4 linked regions of the Drosophila melanogaster genome follow. The protein of the gene in region 1 interacts with the protein of each later gene in a pairwise test. Each region holds a gene or a part of one and is shown on either strand. Other genes may lie near its edges. The genes, in order: CG5783, CycY, Pvf3 and CG43658.

Region 1 (3,435 bases):
GGCTTTGGTCAATATAAACAACAGTGCTGCCTGTCGTGTGTTTGAGAAACTCAACTTCAGGTTGATCCAGGACGAACACTACTACTGGAGCATGATTAAGCCAGCAGCAGGAGGCCAGATATCTTGGCCCTGCGACGAATAGGGCCCACACCGTTAGTATTATTGGCCAGAAATTGCTTACAAATGAATTGTTTGTATACCTTATATACCTTTGTAGTTGTAACCTTAAGAAATATATTCTTCAAACTAAGTACAGATGATGCTTGACGAGCTGCACTTCTATTTGGATATTTGATCGGAAAGGTTGTTTCGCTTGAAGTAAGTGTGCAGTCAGTTGAGAGCTAGCTTTTAGCCAGCTAAATATTTTCACAATTCCCCATTGCTGACTCAGTTTTAACTGCCACTTAGCAAATGATTCTGATCACATTCAAGCCAAAAGGCTTTCGGATATCTTGATCCGGCAGGGAATAGGCCCAGACAGCAAATAGAGATACAGCAAAGTCTACAGCGGCTAATATGCAAAATATCTAGAAGGTGCCCTGCTATCTCAGTGTATAAATTGAATCACCGTCTAGTTGCCAGGGATCAGTTTTCGAAATGGATCGTCTGCAGCAGGTCGGCGTTCAGCAGTTGGGTGATCTGAAGCGTGTTTTCACCCGGGAATGGCCAAAATACTGCAAGGAGTACTACTGCCTGGACACGTTTCTGGAGCTATATAAAAAGGACGATCAGCTGAAGGATGTGCAAGTCTATGCTCTTCCCAATCTAGAGCTCGGAATATTTGTGATCGTGGTATGAATGCGGTTGGTGGTTGTGCGATCTTTTATTTAATTTTTATGTGGATCGTTAAGGATCACTATCAGATATTTGTGGGCTTCCTGGAAGCTGAACAATCAGAAAGCCTTTTCAAGGAGTCCTTACTCAAGTTTAAGCTCTATGGAGGCGAACAGTTCGCCTCAATGCCAAAAAGGTATTTCAATGTTGCCAACGACATTATTCAAGCGAAGAATCTGAAACTAGATCTCGACTGTGTAACACTTTCCCTGGTCTTGAGCAAAGAGGAAGCCCTGCTTTTTCAAGTAGAGTAAGTTCATCCAAAAATATATATAGTGCATGTGCCTAATAAACCGCTCTAAACTTTAACAGACCTCCAGCCGGATTTTCCCTTAAGCCGGTAGATATAGACGATGCTCAGGTGATTAATGATCAATGGGAATGGAGTGAGCCGGATTCCCTTTCCGTGGTCCGCCGTCAAATTCTGTATGACACAGAAAGAAATTCATGCTATTAGAAATAAATTCTCAATTACTATTACTTCGCAGGGCTCCAGATGGCTTATTGGCAGTCCTTCAGGTCAAGACGACCTACAAACGCAGAGGCTTCGGCCAACTGATTGTGAAGGAATTTGCGAGACAAGAGGCTCTGCTGGGACGCGATACAATCACCGAAGTGGTTCCGGAAAACAAGGCATCCTTGGGCCTGTTCACCAAACTGGGCTTTAAAATCAACGACCAGTGTCACTGGCTGATGACGGAGCCGCCAAAAGGAGTTCGATAAGATTAAGGACTTGTTTATCTGTAAATGTTATTTTTTTTGTAGATTTAAATTATTAAAGCTGATAAGTTTTAGCAGCTGGCAAAAAATGTACTGGCTGGCCATAAGAAAACCACACGTAAGAGAATCTAACGATTTGAAGAGATTGCATGAAGAGAAATAGACAAGCTGCTTGATTGAGTCACCCAAACAACAATCAAATGAGCCATTTTCACTCGGTCGCTCGAAGGGGAAGATTGTTTCGCTCGACCAATATGGGTACTCGATTAGAAGTTATTGGGCTGAAAGATATCCAGGAGTTCCAACAGCTCTACAAGCAAAACTGGCCAAAATATTGCCAGGAATACTACTGCCTTGATAACTTTGTGGAATTTCTGAAAAAACAGCCCCATATGAGGAATATTAAGATGTACACATTGGATGCAAAACAAGCCAGAGATGAAGGTCTTTTTGTTATAGTGGTGAGTTCTACATATATGTATAGACTGCAACTCACTAAGAGAGGCGGCCCTCTCTTAGGATCGCTATCAACTATTCGTAGGTTGCTTGAACAACACGAACGGCCTTGTTGGAAAAGCTCTGGATTTACTGGACTGGTCGTCGGGTTTGAAATGCAGTTCTATACCCTCCAGACACATTGGTGCCCTGGATAGTCTGGTGGAGTCCAAAAAGTTGAATCTGGTGTACAGGGACTGCACGAATTTGTTTTTTATGAAAGCCAACGACGCTCTCAAGCTGAAAGTCGAGTAAGAAATAATAATCCATTTAACATAACGAGTTTTATATGATCTAAGTCTTGTAGACCTCCATCTGGATTTGTTTTAAAGTCGTTGAGTGTGGCAGATGCTCCATTGGTTAACGCAGAGTGGCCCAATCATCATGAGGGATCTTTGTTCTTCGTAGAAAGGCAGATTCGCCTGTGCGTCAGTGTTGGATTGTACCAGGAAGACACCCAGGAACTAGTTGCCTGGTGCATTAGGTAAGACGAATGTATTTTTATAAAGACACATTACCTGATATCGAAATCTGTAGGTTACAAGGCGGCTACTTGGGCGCCCTGCAAGTCAAAGATACACACAAGCGACGCGGATTTGGCAGTGTGGTGACTAGGGAAATAGCATACCGCCTAGCCGTCCAAGGTCACGATGTAATGGCTCTCGTGGGCCCCTCGAATAAGCCGTCATCGGAGATGTTCAGCAAACTGGGATTCCAGGTCATCGATCAATGCTACTGGCTAAGGACGGAACCCACCGGTGGGCAGTTCACATGGCCCGAGGGCGAGTAATTGGTGTTTAAATGTCTGTATTAAAATATTACGACTTTCGGTTGTATATGAATACAAGTATTGGTATAAAAATATGCCGAGGCATTTGAGCTGTGCTTATTCTAAAACTCTAAACGAGCGAGCAATCCCTGGCAGCGATCTTCTAATTGGAGGGGACTACACTGGATAGTCGGATCCTCTGTTAGAGTCCGGGTGATCTTCCATAAGCACTCGAGATCGTATTGCACATGATAATCGTTCATTGTGTAACTATCGAATAGTAAAAATTTGGTGGCTACGGTTCCCTCTGCCAATCGGCGAGCGGCTATAAACTCCAGTAGTTCTATAAAATCGAGGTAGTTGATACCAAAGCTGGCCCTCAGCATTGTCTGGCAGTGGGCCTCAAAGTTGTCCATCTGCTGGCAGTCGGAGATCTCATTGCAAACGGCCTTCAGGTTGTTCTTAAGGTTTTGCCAGACCATGGATATGTTGCAGCCATTGAACCAGTTGTGATTGACGGATATGGTGTCTGTTAGGTTCCACACCTGATGAAACCAGCCACTGGGCACGAAAACAGCTTCATTGGCCCGCTGATTAATGGTGTAATATCGCACGTT
Region 2 (6,047 bases), 6.3 Mb from region 1:
ACAAAACATATTTATTTTTATACATGAGCGCGGGACAAAAGTGAGAGCAGAAAGTGGAGGGCTTGAGTCGCAGGAGGATTTGATTTCCTTTCGTTTCGGTTTTCCTTTTCCTTAATCAACTTGAAATGTTTTCAAACGTTTTTCAAAATGTCTGATAGCGGGACCATTCTTTTAAGATTTACCACTGCTCTTTACCAATTTGAGCAGGGCGAAAATCGTAGGGAAATTCGAGGTGGAAAAGCCGCCGAGCGATAGCAGCAGAAAGTCAAAGGGCAGTGGTAAAAGTGCTTAGCAGTAAGGTACCAAATTATCAGCTGAAATTGGGATCATAGCTTTATTAAGGTAGTCGATAAATGTACGAACAAATCGTGGTTGCAGATGTGTATAGCGGATGTCTACTAGTAGCCATAGCCACAAATTAAAAACAAACACGAACAGAACAGACAGAACAAACAAACGTACACAGCAGATTAATCTACTCCTAAACATTAATGGGATAAATATAGCGCCAGAATACCTATTATGCGGACCGTAAATATTATTGAACAACCAGTGTATGTTAGTGTATATCAAACTTGAACGCTCAAAGCGATGCGCATGCATATATCGTATATATACATATATATATATATAGCGACCTCTCTCGAAAATCTGTACAAAGTCCTGATTAATATAGCGTTAGGCTGCAGACCCTCGAACAAAACAAAAAAAAAAAAACCGAAAAAGTTGTTATTTATCTCTGTTGAAAAATGGGAAATCCACAGAAACACTAATCGAACGTATGCAAACGGATATATATAAATATATATGAGGTTTACGATTCAATGTTATTAGCAAAAAGTAGTCTAGTAGTATCATTAACACACACATAGACATATTATATAGTTCCGGCCGATGTGCAAACTTGTTAACGAGAGAAACTTAGCTGATGGAACAATATGAAATACACACTTGCATACGGTAAATAAGTTGAAAGCAATCATTACATTTAAACAATAAATATAAACTACTTAACTATAAAGTCCCTAATGGAAAAAAAATATATATAAAATACATTTTGTGTAAATACAACTTGCACAGGATGCAAAAAGATGTAGTATATTAGCGGAATGCACTCTAACTAAAGGGAATACTGTAGCCATCCCACACCAACTAAAAACCGAAGGAATCGCATATTACTGAGATCTGTAAATAACTTTGTTTCATCTGTTCATTTCTAGCCCAGTTATTTATATATCGCATAAGCAAACTAATTGTGTACTTTACAAGTTATCTCGAAACAAAAGCCTACTAATGAAACGTTTTTAATTTTCCTACTATGTTAAACTCAACATTTAATATGCATAAACTAACGGCGATGGTCTAAAAATTGCAAAACAAGTATTTGAGATAAAGGGTATATGGCTGAGATGTATGCTTATTACGAAATACTTTCAAGTAAATTATAATAACACCATATGACTTTTAATATACTAATAAAAATTCTTATTAAACCTAACTGGGGACGGTTTTTTTTTAAAGGAGTTTACATATTTTGTTTAATTAAAGGCCCGCCCTTTTTTTGAATTTAGTGCTGCCACATAGTCATGTGTGATATCGATAAGTGGCGTTTCAGTACTTTACTTATCGACTTTCTTACATTGCCCTTTTATATATCCTTTTGTTGTTATTATTGTAATTGTGAATGATCATATATTTCAGGGACTAATTTATTACTTATTAATAATATTTAAGATTTTACGCAATGTTTTTAAAACTAGGCACTAGAGCATTTATCTGGTATTTTTATACCGCAAAATGCCATCTCTTAGCCGGATGGTGTTTTTGTGCTAACCATCAACGGGCACACCGCCACTGATATCTATCGATATTTATAAAATACGATACATTTCATTTTCGAGCAGGTAATTAAACAAAAAAACGCGAGAAAACACCAAAGATGTGTGAAAAGTGTTGCATTACTACCTTGCCCAACTGACGGCCATCGCCTCATCAGTGAGATAGCCACCAATTAAGCCTAATCACCCAATAATCCCGATTTGGTAGTCATTCGTGGGTGTTTCTCCGGGCAGAGGCCGAGCAGCGCTGCCGGCGACGACAGCGGCGCCAGCGTTCATTCATTCATTCACTGCAATGATTAATGTGCGGGGAAAAAACAATTCAAGTGATTTGAGCAGAGATAGTAGGAATCTAGGAACTGGGCAATCAGCTGCCCACCCGGTGACAAATTATCCAATATCTCCGGCCTTCCGCGCCGTAAACAAAGTCACAAGCTTCGCTGCCGCCCCGCCCCTCCCAGAAATGGGAAGAAGAAGAAGAAGTTAGAGTCGTGCTCCCCACACAGAAAACAAGAAATCGGCGAAAATAAAGCAAAGACCTCGCCAAATTAGGCAATTAGGTTAATTAACTTTTCGCACAACAATCTGGCCGGCCTTTAAGCCAAAACGATTCCGCCTATAAACAGAGCAAATATAAATGGTAGATAGTGAAAATAGCACAACTTGCAGATCGAATGCTGAAATACCCTAACCAAAGTAACCCTCCTAGGCTAAGTTCGATATGCATGGCATATTTGGTTTTCGTCATGTGACTTCTTTCACGTTATTATCTTTAAAAACAACAAAGTTTTTATCATATCTACAGCTGACTTTCCCTACAATTTATATGATAGAAGTGCCCCCAAACTTTCAAATCAATCAAATAGTCAGTCTTATCAGGTCATTCAAATTTGTAGCACTAGAAAGTGTTATTAACAATAGTTTAAATGCCACCACAAGTAGTGAAAAAGTAGTCAAAACTTCTCTAAAATCGAATAGCACCCTCCCCAAAAAAGGGCAGTGCAATTAATAATGGGTTATGGGATGAGAATGAGAACAGATTTGCAGATAAGATCGAATGAAAGCCGAGGCTAAGCGTTATCTATATACATACATATACTCTTTGCAGCAAACGCTCGACGACGGGCAGCGGTAATTGTGGAGCGATAGAAACGCCAGCGCCATGCCCATAGACATAGACGCACGACGACCAAGTGCCAAAAGCGAGAACCGAGCGTGAGCGACTGCCAGGAGCAGGATCCGTAACCACGGGGTCCATCCGCTAGTCAAGAGAGAGTGAGCAAGCGAGCGAGTGAGTGCCAAGCCAAGTTTGCATTTAGTTTGAGCGCCCGACCAACCGAACCAATCCGAAACGGCAAAATGGGCAACAAGAACTCGTGCTGCGCGTACTCCAGTCCGCAGTCGGACCGCAAGTCTAAGGACATGCCGCCCGTCTTCGAGGAGCGGATTATCCAGCTGGGTCATCCGCCGCACACGTCACAGCACCAGTTGGACGGCCACCATGGATCCGCGTCGGCGGTGCACCTGCATCACCATCATCACGGCCACAATCAGCAACAGAATCAGCAGGGTGGCGGCGGTGACAACTATGAGAACCAGCAGAATCTGCAGCACATCTCCGAGCGAGAGGCGCTGGAGGGCGAGGAGGATCCGTCGGTCGATCCCACTGCAGCCACCATGTTCCTGGAACGATCAAAGGTGGAGAACGGCGGCATGACGCGCAAGCGTTCGCAACAGCAGATTGCCCAGCAGGCGGGCAGCGGCGGCGGAGGAGGCGGCGGCGGTGGCGGCGGCAGTACTCCCGGTGGCAATAGTTGCGGCGGTGGTGGCGGCATGAAGAAGAGCTCCTCCTGCTCGACGATCTATCTGGACGACAGCACTGTGTCGCAGCCGAATCTTAAGAATACGGTCAAATGCGTCTCACTGGCCATTTACTATCACATCAAGAATCGGCAATCGGATCGCCGGCTGGACATCTTCGACGAGAAGCTTCATCCGCTGACCCACGACCAGGTGCCGGATAACTATGACACGCACAATCCGGAACACCGGCAGATCTACAAGTTCGTGCGCACGCTCTTTAACGCCGCCCAGCTGACGGCCGAGTGTGCGATCATCACGCTAGTCTACCTGGAGCGGCTACTCACCTACGCCGAGCTGGATGTGGGACCCTGCAACTGGAAGCGCATGGTGTTGGGTGAGTGGAGTGCTGCAAGCATCAGATATTCAGAACAAGCAGTAGATCACTAATTTGGTATAGCTTACTAATTTCTACTATTGATGTTCTGCAGGTGCCATTCTCCTCGCCTCAAAGGTGTGGGATGACCAGGCCGTTTGGAATGTAGATTACTGCCAAATACTCAAAGACATCACCGTGGAGGACATGAACGAGCTGGAGCGCCAGTTCCTCGAGCTGCTGCAGTTCAACATCAATGTACCGTCCTCGGTGTACGCCAAATACTACTTCGACCTGCGCACGCTCGCCGAGGCCAACGAGCTCAACTTCCCCACGGAGCCGCTGTCCAAGGAGCGGGCCCAGAAGCTGGAGGCCATGTCGCGTGTGATGCAGGACAAGGTCACTGCCGAGGCACTGAAGAATGGGATCAAGAAGTGGTCCTCCATGGACAACATCAGTCAGGGCGGGCCGCGACGCAGCGTGGCCATACTATCGTGATTTATATTAGCTTACTAAAACCGAACAACCAACCAACAGCAGCAATGAGATCCGTACTCTGTAGTCCGTAGTCCGATCGAACGTCATTTGAGAACCGTAGCTCTGCGCTGAATCAGATTTTGCACACAGATTCAGATACATTTCGTAGGCCACCCGGTTGCATAAGCTTTTGCGGGTGGCTTTTTAGCCAGCACACAGACTCTAAAAGGAACACCCAAATACGTGCAGAAAGAATCACAGTCTTATATACAATATATACATACACGAAGAAAAGCGTTTTAACCACACGTCTCGAATTAAGGACCACTTTTTACATATACGTACATGCGATCGATGTATGTAAGCGAAACTACCGATGCAGTCATGGATTTGGATGATGATTTTAAACAGAGACACAGAAGTACTACTACAGCAACGCGTAACCAATTGCCAAACGAAAGATCACAGAAGCAGAAAGAGATACAGAAACCTAAACCGAACAGTAGAGAATTGTTTGTACAAAACGGCTTAAATAATATTGTAATTGACTTGGCCACCTAATCCAGCTGGCATCTAAGCAATTTAATCTCAACGGTTGGCCACGGCCACCAAATTGTCATTTACTTAGCGCGTCCGCGCCCAAAAAAAGAAAAGAAAAACATTTCCCTGTACATTTGTTACGAATTTAATTTGTTTACCTTACATCCATGTTTTCTTAATAACTCAATATGATTTCGTGTGATTCTTATATAGTTTCCATTTAGCTTTATATACGATGAACGATATTCGGCTTCCCCGCGTCAGGCTTCAGGCACAAATCGATTTTCTGGGGGCGCGGCCTGCGGCAAGTTGATTTGTTTTTTTTTGGTTCTTAGCATTAGAAAAACAAACAAAATCCGAGCGAGAGTTGCAAGGAGCACAGCGCAATATTAACCCAAAAGATTTGTGAGTAAATTAATGTACTAGACATATAAGGATACGAATTATATGCAAAATGTATTTTATTTTGTAATTTATTTTACGATAAAGCTAAATAAAAGCAAATCAAAGAAATAGACTTTCTATAACTTAGTTTTTGTCACTTTTTTTTCGAAAACGTGGGTTTTGAAAACGAAAGCGCGCTTATTCGAAGTCAAAAACATGGCCATATGAAACAGAAAGTTTTTGAAACATTTTTTTTTTTTTATATAGAAAGGACTTCTGGCTATTCTATGTATAAAAACATTTTAGAAACATATCTTATTCTAAATAAGAAGATCGATCATAGGATTTCTTTCGAAAATCGTATAAAATGTATTGTATAATCCACTTATTTTCTTTCCCTCCCACAAAATATGGATTCAAAAATCTCGAACAAGATTATGTGGAAAAGTATTGATAATCACCTAAACACATTGATTTTCAACATTATAAATACTCCACTTGCAAATGCAAAAAAAAAACTCTTTAGAAATAGTCAAGATCCTACTATTTAAGTTTATACTTTCAGAAAATCTTATAATTCCAATTACACTTTATAACTTATTAAATTTACGCTGCTAATTATTTTTATTATT
Region 3 (4,865 bases), about 11 Mb from region 1:
TGGCATCCAAAAAGTGCAAATCAAATGCAACAAATTAATTGTTATTGTTGTTGCATTTTGTTGATTTTCGTTGCCGTTCTGACTGGTTTCAATTAGCCAGGCCGCCATTGTGAATGGCTAGCGGTCAGCCAAAAAGTGCCGAATTGGCAAAAGCCAGCTGCTATCCTTTCCCCTCCTCCTTCACCTTCACCGCCCCCCCTTTCAACCTTTGCCGCATTGTGTAAACATTTGCCATGAGCACCAAAACACAAAGTAAAGCTACATGTCTGTTTTTGTTGTAAGCCAAAATGCAAACGGCATTAGCCATGGTCAGTGCGTTATGCCGAGGTGAGTAATGGCAGTGCACTGCGAGAATTTTCTAGCTACGAAATGAAAGTGAGAGTTCTGGAATCAACCAATTCATCTTCACAATGATAAACGAATACAATTGCAACACAACTCATTCTAATTTAGATATTTACATACTTCTTATTTGTAGACAATCTCGATAGCTTAGATACCATTATTTGGCTCAGTGCACTTGAACATCTATTTGTTTACTGACGGATTTTCGGCGTGACTAACCATCAGCAACAAATGAAAATCATACGTGAAACCGAAACCAGAATCACAGTCTGGCCCCAAAAGATTGGTTGGTCATTTGTGGCCACAATCACTACTATCGCTGTCTGTTTATGAACGGAATCTCTTATCAGGGGCTCTCCAAGCAGCCCCACAGCCAAATCCCACATAATGGAGCAATGTCAGAGCAACAACAATGGCTAATGACATCATGAAATCGGCGGGATGCCGCAGACTTATCAGTGAATTCAGAACAATGGGCGCAATGCCAGACTCACCTCATTCTCAATGTTCCTTATGAGAGGGGTATTCCGGCTCTTCTCTCGCATCGCCAGTAGTTCTTTCTGGTGTTTCTGCTGCCTGAGATGGTGTTGGTGCTCGATTTTGTTCCACTGTTCATTGGAGAAGCCCTCCTCCGACTCGGAGTCTGAATCCTCATTGGAGTCGTCCTCTTCGCCACCGCCATTCTTTAGATTCGCATCAATTAATTGCAGTTTTGGCCTTTCGGTTCGCATTATTGTGGGCTTTACTGTGCTGGTTGTTGAGGTTGTTGTTGTCGTTGAAGTAGTTGTGATGTGTGGCTTTTTAACAGCCTCTTTTTCCCTATCATGTTTGAACAGCCAATCGAATATATTCCGCTTGCCAGCAGACTTGTCGTGCGGATTGGCCACGCTGGGATACTTGTTGCTGTTGCGATTGCTACTCGAAACTATGTCCAGTTCATCCGACTGGTCGTACGCATTGTAATCGGTATCCTTTAAATCGATGTGTGGCAACTTCTGGGTGAACAGCGAATATCTGGGCATTTGTCGGGCCAGTTCCTCATCAACGCCATTCGAGGTATCGCCATCCTCATCATACTCATCGTAGTCATCTTCGTCATCCTCATCGCTGTCCTCGTCGGAATCACTCGAGTCCACCTCCTGTCGCCAATTGGGACCTCTGGTGGTTCGAGGCTCAGCCCAGGATGGAAAGATGCCGTCCCTGTCAAAATAGCGACTGTGATTGGAGATCAGGCCATGGTGCCTGGTTGTGGGTGCCTCGGTGGTCATTAGGTTCTTGGCCGTGCTCGGTCCGATGGACAAGCGGTGCTGCTGATGACGCAGCGAGGGAAATACCCGCTGCTCCCAGCTCGCATGATGACGATTGTGATGACGCAAGTGATGCTGCTGCATGGGCAATTGGGGATCGAGGAAGGCCTTCTTCTCGACATCCTCGATCGGCGGCTGATGGTTGCCCTCCAGTTCGGCCCGCAGATGCTGTTCGTGCCGCAAATGATGATGGTGCTGCTGATGGGCCTCCAGTTGTTGCGCCTCCTGCAATTGCTGCAATCTCTGCTGCTGATGGGGACTTCGATGACCGCCAGTCGGGGCTACTGTGGTCATCACAGGTGCTCCCTTTAGATCACTGCTATTGGCCCAGACGAGGGGCACTAGTATCAGAACTAGCCAATGCATTTCGAAGATCGTTGCGTTTCACCGCGGGGATTTTATTGTTTTATATTGGCCTTTTTTTCTAGGAATACTCTGCTCTTTGTGTCGATATTTTTCACATGCGTTTGTTGGCACTTGCCTTTGTCGTTTGTTTTGTTTAAAACATTTCCCTTTGTCCCACAATCCGCAATTAATATTGTCACTTTTTGTTTTGACACTTGTTGAAAGTTAAAATAATTCGTTATTACCGGCTTAAAATGGAATATTAATTGTTCAGAGTTGGAATTAAGTCGTTTATTTTTTCGTAAATGGAATTTTAATTGTTCTCGTAAAAAATGTTTTACTGGATGTTAATTTTTATATGTCATTAAAATATTACTCGGGGTCTTTGTTAATTATACCATTGCATTTATAGCTTTATTTATGCGTTGTGTGAGATTCCTAGAAACTTCATTTAAGTATTAAGATAACATTTTATTTTTTTTTCATTTCAATATGTTTATTCTTTATTGTAATTTATAGGTATTCCATATACCGCGACGTCAATTTATTTTTTATTTATCTCTTTTTTATTGTCGTTTTCAATTGTATTTCCAAATATTAGCACTTCAACACTAATCACCACAAATCATTCATTTTTTTTTATAATATTCTTTATTCTTTTTCCTTTGATCTTTTGCCAATTTGTTCACACACTCAGTGATTAATGGTTATTAAATTCTTAGCTTTAACCAATTACCGCGGCCATAAATCCGCCGCAGAATCCGCGCGCGACTTTTGACGCGATGCCAGGAGGCAAGAAAAACACACCCACCAATCCACTCACGCACATCCGAGTATATATCTCCGGAGTATATATCTGTATGTGCGATGCTTTAGCGCTTGTTTGTGCAATGATTTGTTTGTTTTGATTTCCAGTGCCAGATGGCGGAGTTCCATAGGAATAGATGGAGATATGGCACTTCCGTTTGGCTCCGGTAAATGGTAAGTTCAGATCGCGTGGCTCCACGTAGGGGCGGACAAATCCACAGTTCCCGACGTTCAGATAACGACTGACACACGGATTCCGTATGGATTTCAGTCGCGGCAGATGCGCATTGGCAACACATGTTGCGATCCACAAAAGAGCATCTAGTCGCAACATGATGCCAGCAACATGAGGCGACAGCGGGAAAACTGAAAACTACGACAAAATCTATTACCAATCCGGCTGATCAGCCTGGAAATTCGTTAGTCTAACCAGTTTAAGAGGCAGAATATAATTTCAGTCGGACATTGTGCATGTAGCGTCATAAAATAAAATGTCAGCAGCAATCTCCCACACAATCTGGAACTTCTGTAAGTTGTACACTTCTACAAAAAAGAAAAGGATACGTTAAGGATAATGGAAACAAACATTTTAAGATCAATCCTAAAAATATTTTTTAAAAAATTTTACTATCTTTATTTAAGTTCGAATAACTGCCTAGTTAATTTAATTTATTTTTAGAAGTGTTATGTAATATATTTTTCCTTAGTGCAGCAATCATCTTCATCTGAAGCCTAACAGCAGCTTTGGCTGTACGCCCATGTCTTCTACTTTCGCTGAGTTGTCTGAGAACTTCTTCTGAAGTTGTTTAATTCTCAAGATTGTTGTGCGTTGGCTGCTGATTTTTGCTCCTCGTGTGGGCAGTGGGCACAGACTTCATTCATTACATAATAATAATAATGAGATGGATTTTTATTTCCACCTCCAACACAGATCTTCTGTTGGTTTTACCGAACCACAAAATGTGTGATTTCCAAGAACTCTAGACTTTAATATCCTTGAACGGCGGACAAGTCGCATTGAAGAACAAATTTTCCAACTAATTGCCATTAAACGAAATGTGTATAAAAACGAAAAGGTTTCCACCCGTGAGTCACCGATTTTAGAACGAGTAAACTTCTTAGCATGATCATAAAAAATGTGGCCCGTCCTAAGACTGATCGATGATAAAAGAGTCGAGAAAAAAGAAGGGGTTGGAGCCTGAAATGAAGACTTAAAGAACATTTTATTATTCTCCTAACCATATTTCCATAGCCGGAAAATTGATTTTCAACGCTGGGCGTGCAAATAGGATTTGTCAGGCGATCAATAAAAGATATGTGAGGTTCCCACTAAATCAAAGATGATACGATAGCTGATTATAGCGAATTATTGTTGATAGATAGTCGCAGTGAATTAGTTCTTCAGGTTCTTTATAGTTATGTTCTCTCCCTTTGTCGATCTTTAAATACTTCCCCGTCCCAAAAATTTTTCTTATGGCCTTTCTTGTTTGATTTTTTTAAGCTCCAAGGCAAACAAGTTTCGTTTTCTTTCGTTTGAAGATTGTAAAGATTGTTATATCATTGTTTGATGTGTGTACATTGTGTTTGCTTTGGGGTGAGTTTCGGTAGGTGATAAGCTATAAAGCCACATGTGCGATTTGCTTATAAAAGCCTATAGAGGGTGTTGAATCTAACGCTCAATTTGGTTACGTATGATTTCAGACAATGAGGCATGGAATCTTGTAAAAAATAAAATTAGTTTGCCCAAATATATACCTACATCTAATCTTATAGCATATATATGTTTTTTAAGAGAAGTTATTGATTATTATATCAGTAACGTTTCGGTAAACTCATATACAATTAAGTTTATCAAAAATATCAGGCATCACATATGCGCCCACAACCCATTTTTCGGGGTTAAGCCCCTAAGCCAAGTTAAGTCAACTAATTTGCAACATTCTCAACTTCTCAACAAGTTTTCAACGACGACTCCCCGAAAACTAAGTCCGTGCAGCAGTAAGAGGCAATTTAATAATCATGAGGCAATTTACATTGCACTTCACTTCAGTTGAGCGCGTC
Region 4 (5,022 bases), on another chromosome or scaffold:
TGAGGTACCCAATATTTAGATTTCGTTTTTTTTTTAAGAACTTGTATGTTTTATTATATATTAAGGTAGCAATTTAGCCTTGTACATCCTTCTCTATTTTATTACAACATTTTGTAACAGCAATCACATGCAATTAACTTTACTATTTAACAGATTATTGGAGCACATATAGCAAATTCATATTTTAAAAACATTTTGATGCATTAAAAAGCTTTCATGTACTTTTTATGATGCTTATATAACTTATAAGCTCTACCAAATGAGTCAGATCCATTATAAAAAGGGGTAAAAAGGCGAAGAAAAAAATCAATTAAGCCCTGATATTTGATATTATTTTTCCTCTGCGCTCTGTGGGACTATCTTATAAATCGCCGTTGCCATTCTGATGCGTTCGGCTTTGTATTTTATGCTGCTCCTCGAGTTCAGAATTTTCTATTTGGCGATTTGGATGGATGGTTGAGGTGGGGGAGGGGGGGGGCGCGTTCGGGGGGAAGGCAAACAGCTTTAGACACTTTAACACATTCCTCTGGGAATGAATACTCCGTGGAAGGAGCCACTACACACTCGCACACTCACACAGCCAGACATTTTAGTGGGCCTTCAGCATCGACATCGAAAAGTCTCGGACTTCGACTTGGACGGGGATAAAAAGGTGCACTGATAAAAAAGCATGGGAACTTCATGCCGAGTCTGGTTTTCGAGAAGCACATCCTCATTTTCATTAATTCATTTATCATGACTTTAATAGTTAGGTAATACTGATTAGGAAATCTTTTAGGCTTGCAGTCCACGTTGTGACGAAGCGCACCAAGATAGTTAAATCTACCGTGATGGTCTGATCACATTAAACCAAATGTTTTATATATCTCTTATTTCGTAATTAGTTTTTTCTTGCAGTGCCCGAAGGTAAGAGAAACATTTAGACGACTTTCCAAGACCGGTTCTTTTGGCTCTATGAACTCGCCTTCGTCCGCCTCGTACTAACTAGAACTTGTGGCCAAAATAAAAGGCAAACATAAAGCAGCAGCAGCTAGGCTAACAAAAAAAAAAAAACACAAAAAAAAGGCAAAACAGGGAAATGGTCAGCTAGTTGGCCAGTAGCACTTGGCCAACGGCCCTGTCCTTCTGCACCTTTCCGTTTGGACGGATTTATTTTAGTTAATAAGCGAAATCAGCGGAGGGCTGCTCAAATTGTTTGCATTTTTCGGTTGCTTAAAAGGTCCTTACATTCGTCAAGTAATGTACAAAAAATGTAATGAACTGGTATTCAAAGAACTTTGTTTTTTTTTTTGTAATACTTTTTCCCCTAATTCAATTTAACATTCTTTACTGCGTGTCACACACACATTTTTGACATTTATCGGTTAATATATCTAAGATTATAATATACAACTTTCCTTTCTATTCGTTTATGTTTCTTTGTGAAATGTAACAGGAAGAGTCAACCAAAGGGGCACTTTTTTCTTCATTCAGTTTGATGATTGGCCACACTTCTGAAATTCCTGAATTCATTTTTTAACAGCACCCTGCTGAAACTGCCAAAACATTTCGACAGTCCAGAATTCGTACATTTTTTGTTTCGGTAGCTTGATTTTTAGTTTGTTTACTTTTTGCTACCTTTTTGCGTGGCGGTTGTGTCTTTTGATGATCGATCAGCTTTTGGAAGCAATCAGGGAGCCAGGAAATCAGAGGACTCGTCACTTTCCACCACCATGTTGGCCAACTAATTAGATTCGCTCTGAATTCCCGGCTAATTGAAAGGTGAGCAGCGCGCTTGAACTTTTGGCACTTGCCAACTTTTAAGCTGTGCCAAAATGCTAGAAAAACTTAACGCTTTGAGATGGAAACTTCTAGCAAAGTACAACAAAAAGTAAAAAAAAAAATGGACAAAGTAATAAATTGTACAAACAAATAAACAAACAGTAAATCTTATCTGAAGGTTTATTAACGTATTTCGACAAAAACTAAATTATTTCCATGCTTTAAAAGTTTGGTTTTAAAGCTCTTTATAAAGCAACAACCAAATGCCGGCGATGAAATTTCGATTTCTGTGGCGTATAAAAACTGCAAGTTATTCATCTTAATTAAAAGGGATCCTAATGGCCAAGGACCAAACAAAGGATACAGCTAAGGGCGACGCGACAACATTTCGAGCCAATTGCTTGTGAGACAAAAGAGCCAAGTTATTGTTGTTAATATAAATGTATGTAGTGAGTCTGCTAAAAAGGGGAAACCTGCTCTCACCCAAAAATTGACAACTCTGAAATTTATTTGTATTTTAAGAAAGTGTCTAAAAAGAGATGTTCAGAAAATATAATATGTGAAAACTTTATATCGCGATTTAAGCCCTAAAGTTACAACTTAATATACATAAAATAAATTCACGTAATATTTTTCTTTTTTTTTCGGTCAAGTATATGATTTTCGATTTTTTGAAATTTCATGCCAATTATTGTTTAAAAAACACAGACAACGCTTCCAGTTCTAAGGAAAAAAATATTCAATTTTGGTGCACTACAAATACTTTTTCTGCCACTTTTATAACCCTTATTTAACTAATTTGCGAAATACTTTTCCATTCAAGTGCTAATGTTTTGGCGGCTTTTTCGTTTTGCGGTTTTCGCAGGTGGCGGCAGCTGCCACGTGACCGCAAATGTCCTGCGGCAAACGCATCCTTAGCTACTTAAAAAGCTGCACTTACGTTTTCAGCAACGATCGGTTGACAACGGCGCCGCAAATTCAATGAACTCGAAACTAGTTTGGCACATAAACAAAAATCGCAAAAAAAAAGAAGTGTAACGAAATTAAAGGAAAACCGCACACACACGCACACACAAAATGAAAATATAATATTTCACACTACTTCATTTTTTTCGTGGCTCTTTCTAAAAACTGGTAAGAATTGCTGGCCACCAGGTTGTGGTTACTGTTGTTTCTGATCGCGACTTAAAAACGACGCTCTTCGCAGGATTAGCGCTCTCTTCGAAGAGAGCCCCAGCAGAAGTTTAAGGAGAGGAGACGTCCTCGCGCGAGCAGCACCAAAATCCAACTGCGGCCGAATCCCACGGACGCAGCGACGTCCCCACGTCGACGACGCCGGCAGTGCCGCAAATGCAGTTTGCTCGCCACAGGCACGGAAAAAGAATTAATGCCCAAATGGCTTAGAGCTTGTTTTAAGTTAATGATTGAATGGAAGCGACGTTTATTGTGAACTTAGTATTGCTAAAAAGTAAGTGTAAGTAAGTAAGTAATTTAATTTAACAATGCACATCACAAACCATAAAATTGGTTTCAATCTTTGAAATAGCTTAAACATTATTTTATCAAAAAAACATAATTAGTATACATATTTTTTTAAGAACTTTGGTATTTTGAAAACATTTAATAGCTGCGCAGTTGTAGCTGCTATTGCTTTGACTGCTGCTGTGGACCTGAGCTAGTGTGCGAATGGAGTGCAGAAGGAAAGGAACAAGAACTGCCAGATGAAACAAAAACAAAAAACAGCTAAAGCAGCAACAACAACATGCTGATGCAGTGGAGCTGTAGTTGTATTTGTAGTAGGAGTTGGAGCTGGAATTGGAGTTTGGAGTTCCAATCAGACGAAAAGCAACTAGCGACGCGCGCGCTCTTTTCCGCTCTCTCACACACTCTCTCGTTTTCGGCACACTACTCTCGCTCTCCTTTTGCATTACGTATACGCCAAACAACGCAAAACTTAAACCGGCATTTTGTTAGGCGCACGTTTTGAGCCTCTACGAAGAGTGGGATCGAAGAAGGGAAGCGAGGGAGAGAGCAGAAAATGCTTCAGAACAGGTGCGGATCACTTTCAAAACGGTGCAGGGTATAGTTTATATTGTAGTTTACCTAATGCCCGAAAAAGTAGGCAATGTTTTATGGGAATACGGTTACCTGATTAATTTTGTTAGTTCATCAATCTAAGCCGATCTATTAGTTTTGTTACAAAAAAAATTAAGTCTGCTTGGTTCATAACTGCGATGATACGGAAAAAAAGTTTATACTTTTCTGTTTTCTCGAAATGATGGTCTAACTAATACTGAGTTAGAAAATCTTCGTTGGTTGTCATATATGCAGCCAACCAACTGAATCCGCTCCTGGCAACTTAGCATTTTCGCGCGTGCAGCAGGCAGTGCAACAACAGCAACCCCAGCGCCGGAGAAGAGTGCATCGGTTAGTGTGTGCGTGTAGGTGTGTGTGTGAGCTGCAGCTGGCAGCGAGCTTCCTACTTTATTACTGGTTTCCAACTTAATAAAATATGTGGAGCGCTTGATTTACTCTCAACAAGGATACGCAAGGGTTAAGAAAAGCAATGGCAGGCAGAAGAGGGTTAAAAAGAGATAAGCCAAAGAGAGCGACTTTCTTCGCCAGCTGTTTCGCCGAGCTTCTCCCGTTGCCTTTTGTTTTTGCCGCGCATTCGCCGGCTGGGATCTCTCTTTCCCTTTCTCACACTCTCTTCTGTTTCGGTGCCCCTCTCCCACCGTCTGGCCTCTCACTCATACGCCAGCTGTTGCTCCTTTAAGCGCCAGCGTACCGGAATGCACTTAAAAAAAGTGTGGCCTTGAACGTCTAAAAGCATTACAAATTTACTCATATATAACTTAAATGAATAATTAATATATAAAAATAAAGAACGTATAAGAATAATTAAAAATGGTTCTGCGAAATGAAATGTATTAATTTCAGTTTACATTTTCTTGCGCGAAATAGCACATATGCAAAATTCTTGTAGTGTAGCAACGGATTGCTGTACGTTCTGCTGTGTCTTGTAGTTTATTGCAATTTCTTATTAATAAGCGCCTTTTATGTGGAGCCGGGCGTTAGTGCCCTCCCATGGGCGACATTAACGTTAATAATAATAAAATGTGTAATTGCATACTGGGAAGAAGCAGAGCTGGCCAAGAACAAGAAGATGAAGGAGAGGGAGAAGAACATCAGCTTCTTCTTCCAACCAGTTTCGCAGACGTTGTAAGGCCCATCTTTTATCCTGAATTCTCTTTTTTTGCA

Evidence for each region.
Region 2: the proteins of CG5783 (region 1) and CycY interact in a two-hybrid assay, tested with the Drosophila melanogaster proteins (one large-scale study listed by BioGRID).
Region 3: the proteins of CG5783 (region 1) and Pvf3 interact in a two-hybrid assay, tested with the Drosophila melanogaster proteins (one large-scale study listed by BioGRID).
Region 4: the proteins of CG5783 (region 1) and CG43658 interact in a two-hybrid assay, tested with the Drosophila melanogaster proteins (one large-scale study listed by BioGRID).

What each region holds. Positions count from the first base shown.
Region 1 is NT_033779.5:18,154,269-18,157,703, forward strand, and holds CG5783 (uncharacterized protein), read left to right. Parts: upstream 1-1,774; 5' UTR 1,775-1,808; coding exon 1,809-2,015; intron 2,016-2,073; coding exon 2,074-2,300; intron 2,301-2,356; coding exon 2,357-2,533; intron 2,534-2,586; coding exon 2,587-2,839; 3' UTR 2,840-2,894; downstream 2,895-3,435. Other genes in the region: CG17681 (uncharacterized protein), read left to right, coding at 1-142; CG15155 (uncharacterized protein), read left to right, coding at 598-792, 852-1,084, 1,147-1,260, 1,323-1,557; JMJD4 (jumonji domain containing 4), read right to left, coding at 2,941-3,435.
Region 2 is NT_033779.5:11,809,582-11,815,628, reverse strand, and holds CycY (cyclin Y), read left to right. Parts: upstream 1-1,848; 5' UTR 1,849-1,904; intron 1,905-2,946; 5' UTR 2,947-3,197; coding exon 3,198-4,035; intron 4,036-4,129; coding exon 4,130-4,512; 3' UTR 4,513-5,537; downstream 5,538-6,047.
Region 3 is NT_033779.5:7,154,648-7,159,512, forward strand, and holds the start of Pvf3 (PDGF- and VEGF-related factor 3), read right to left. Parts: upstream 3,049-4,865; 5' UTR 2,019-3,048; coding exon 840-2,018; intron 1-839.
Region 4 is NC_004354.4:17,558,128-17,563,149, forward strand, and holds the start of CG43658 (uncharacterized protein), read right to left. Parts: upstream 3,054-5,022; 5' UTR 2,702-3,053; intron 1-2,701.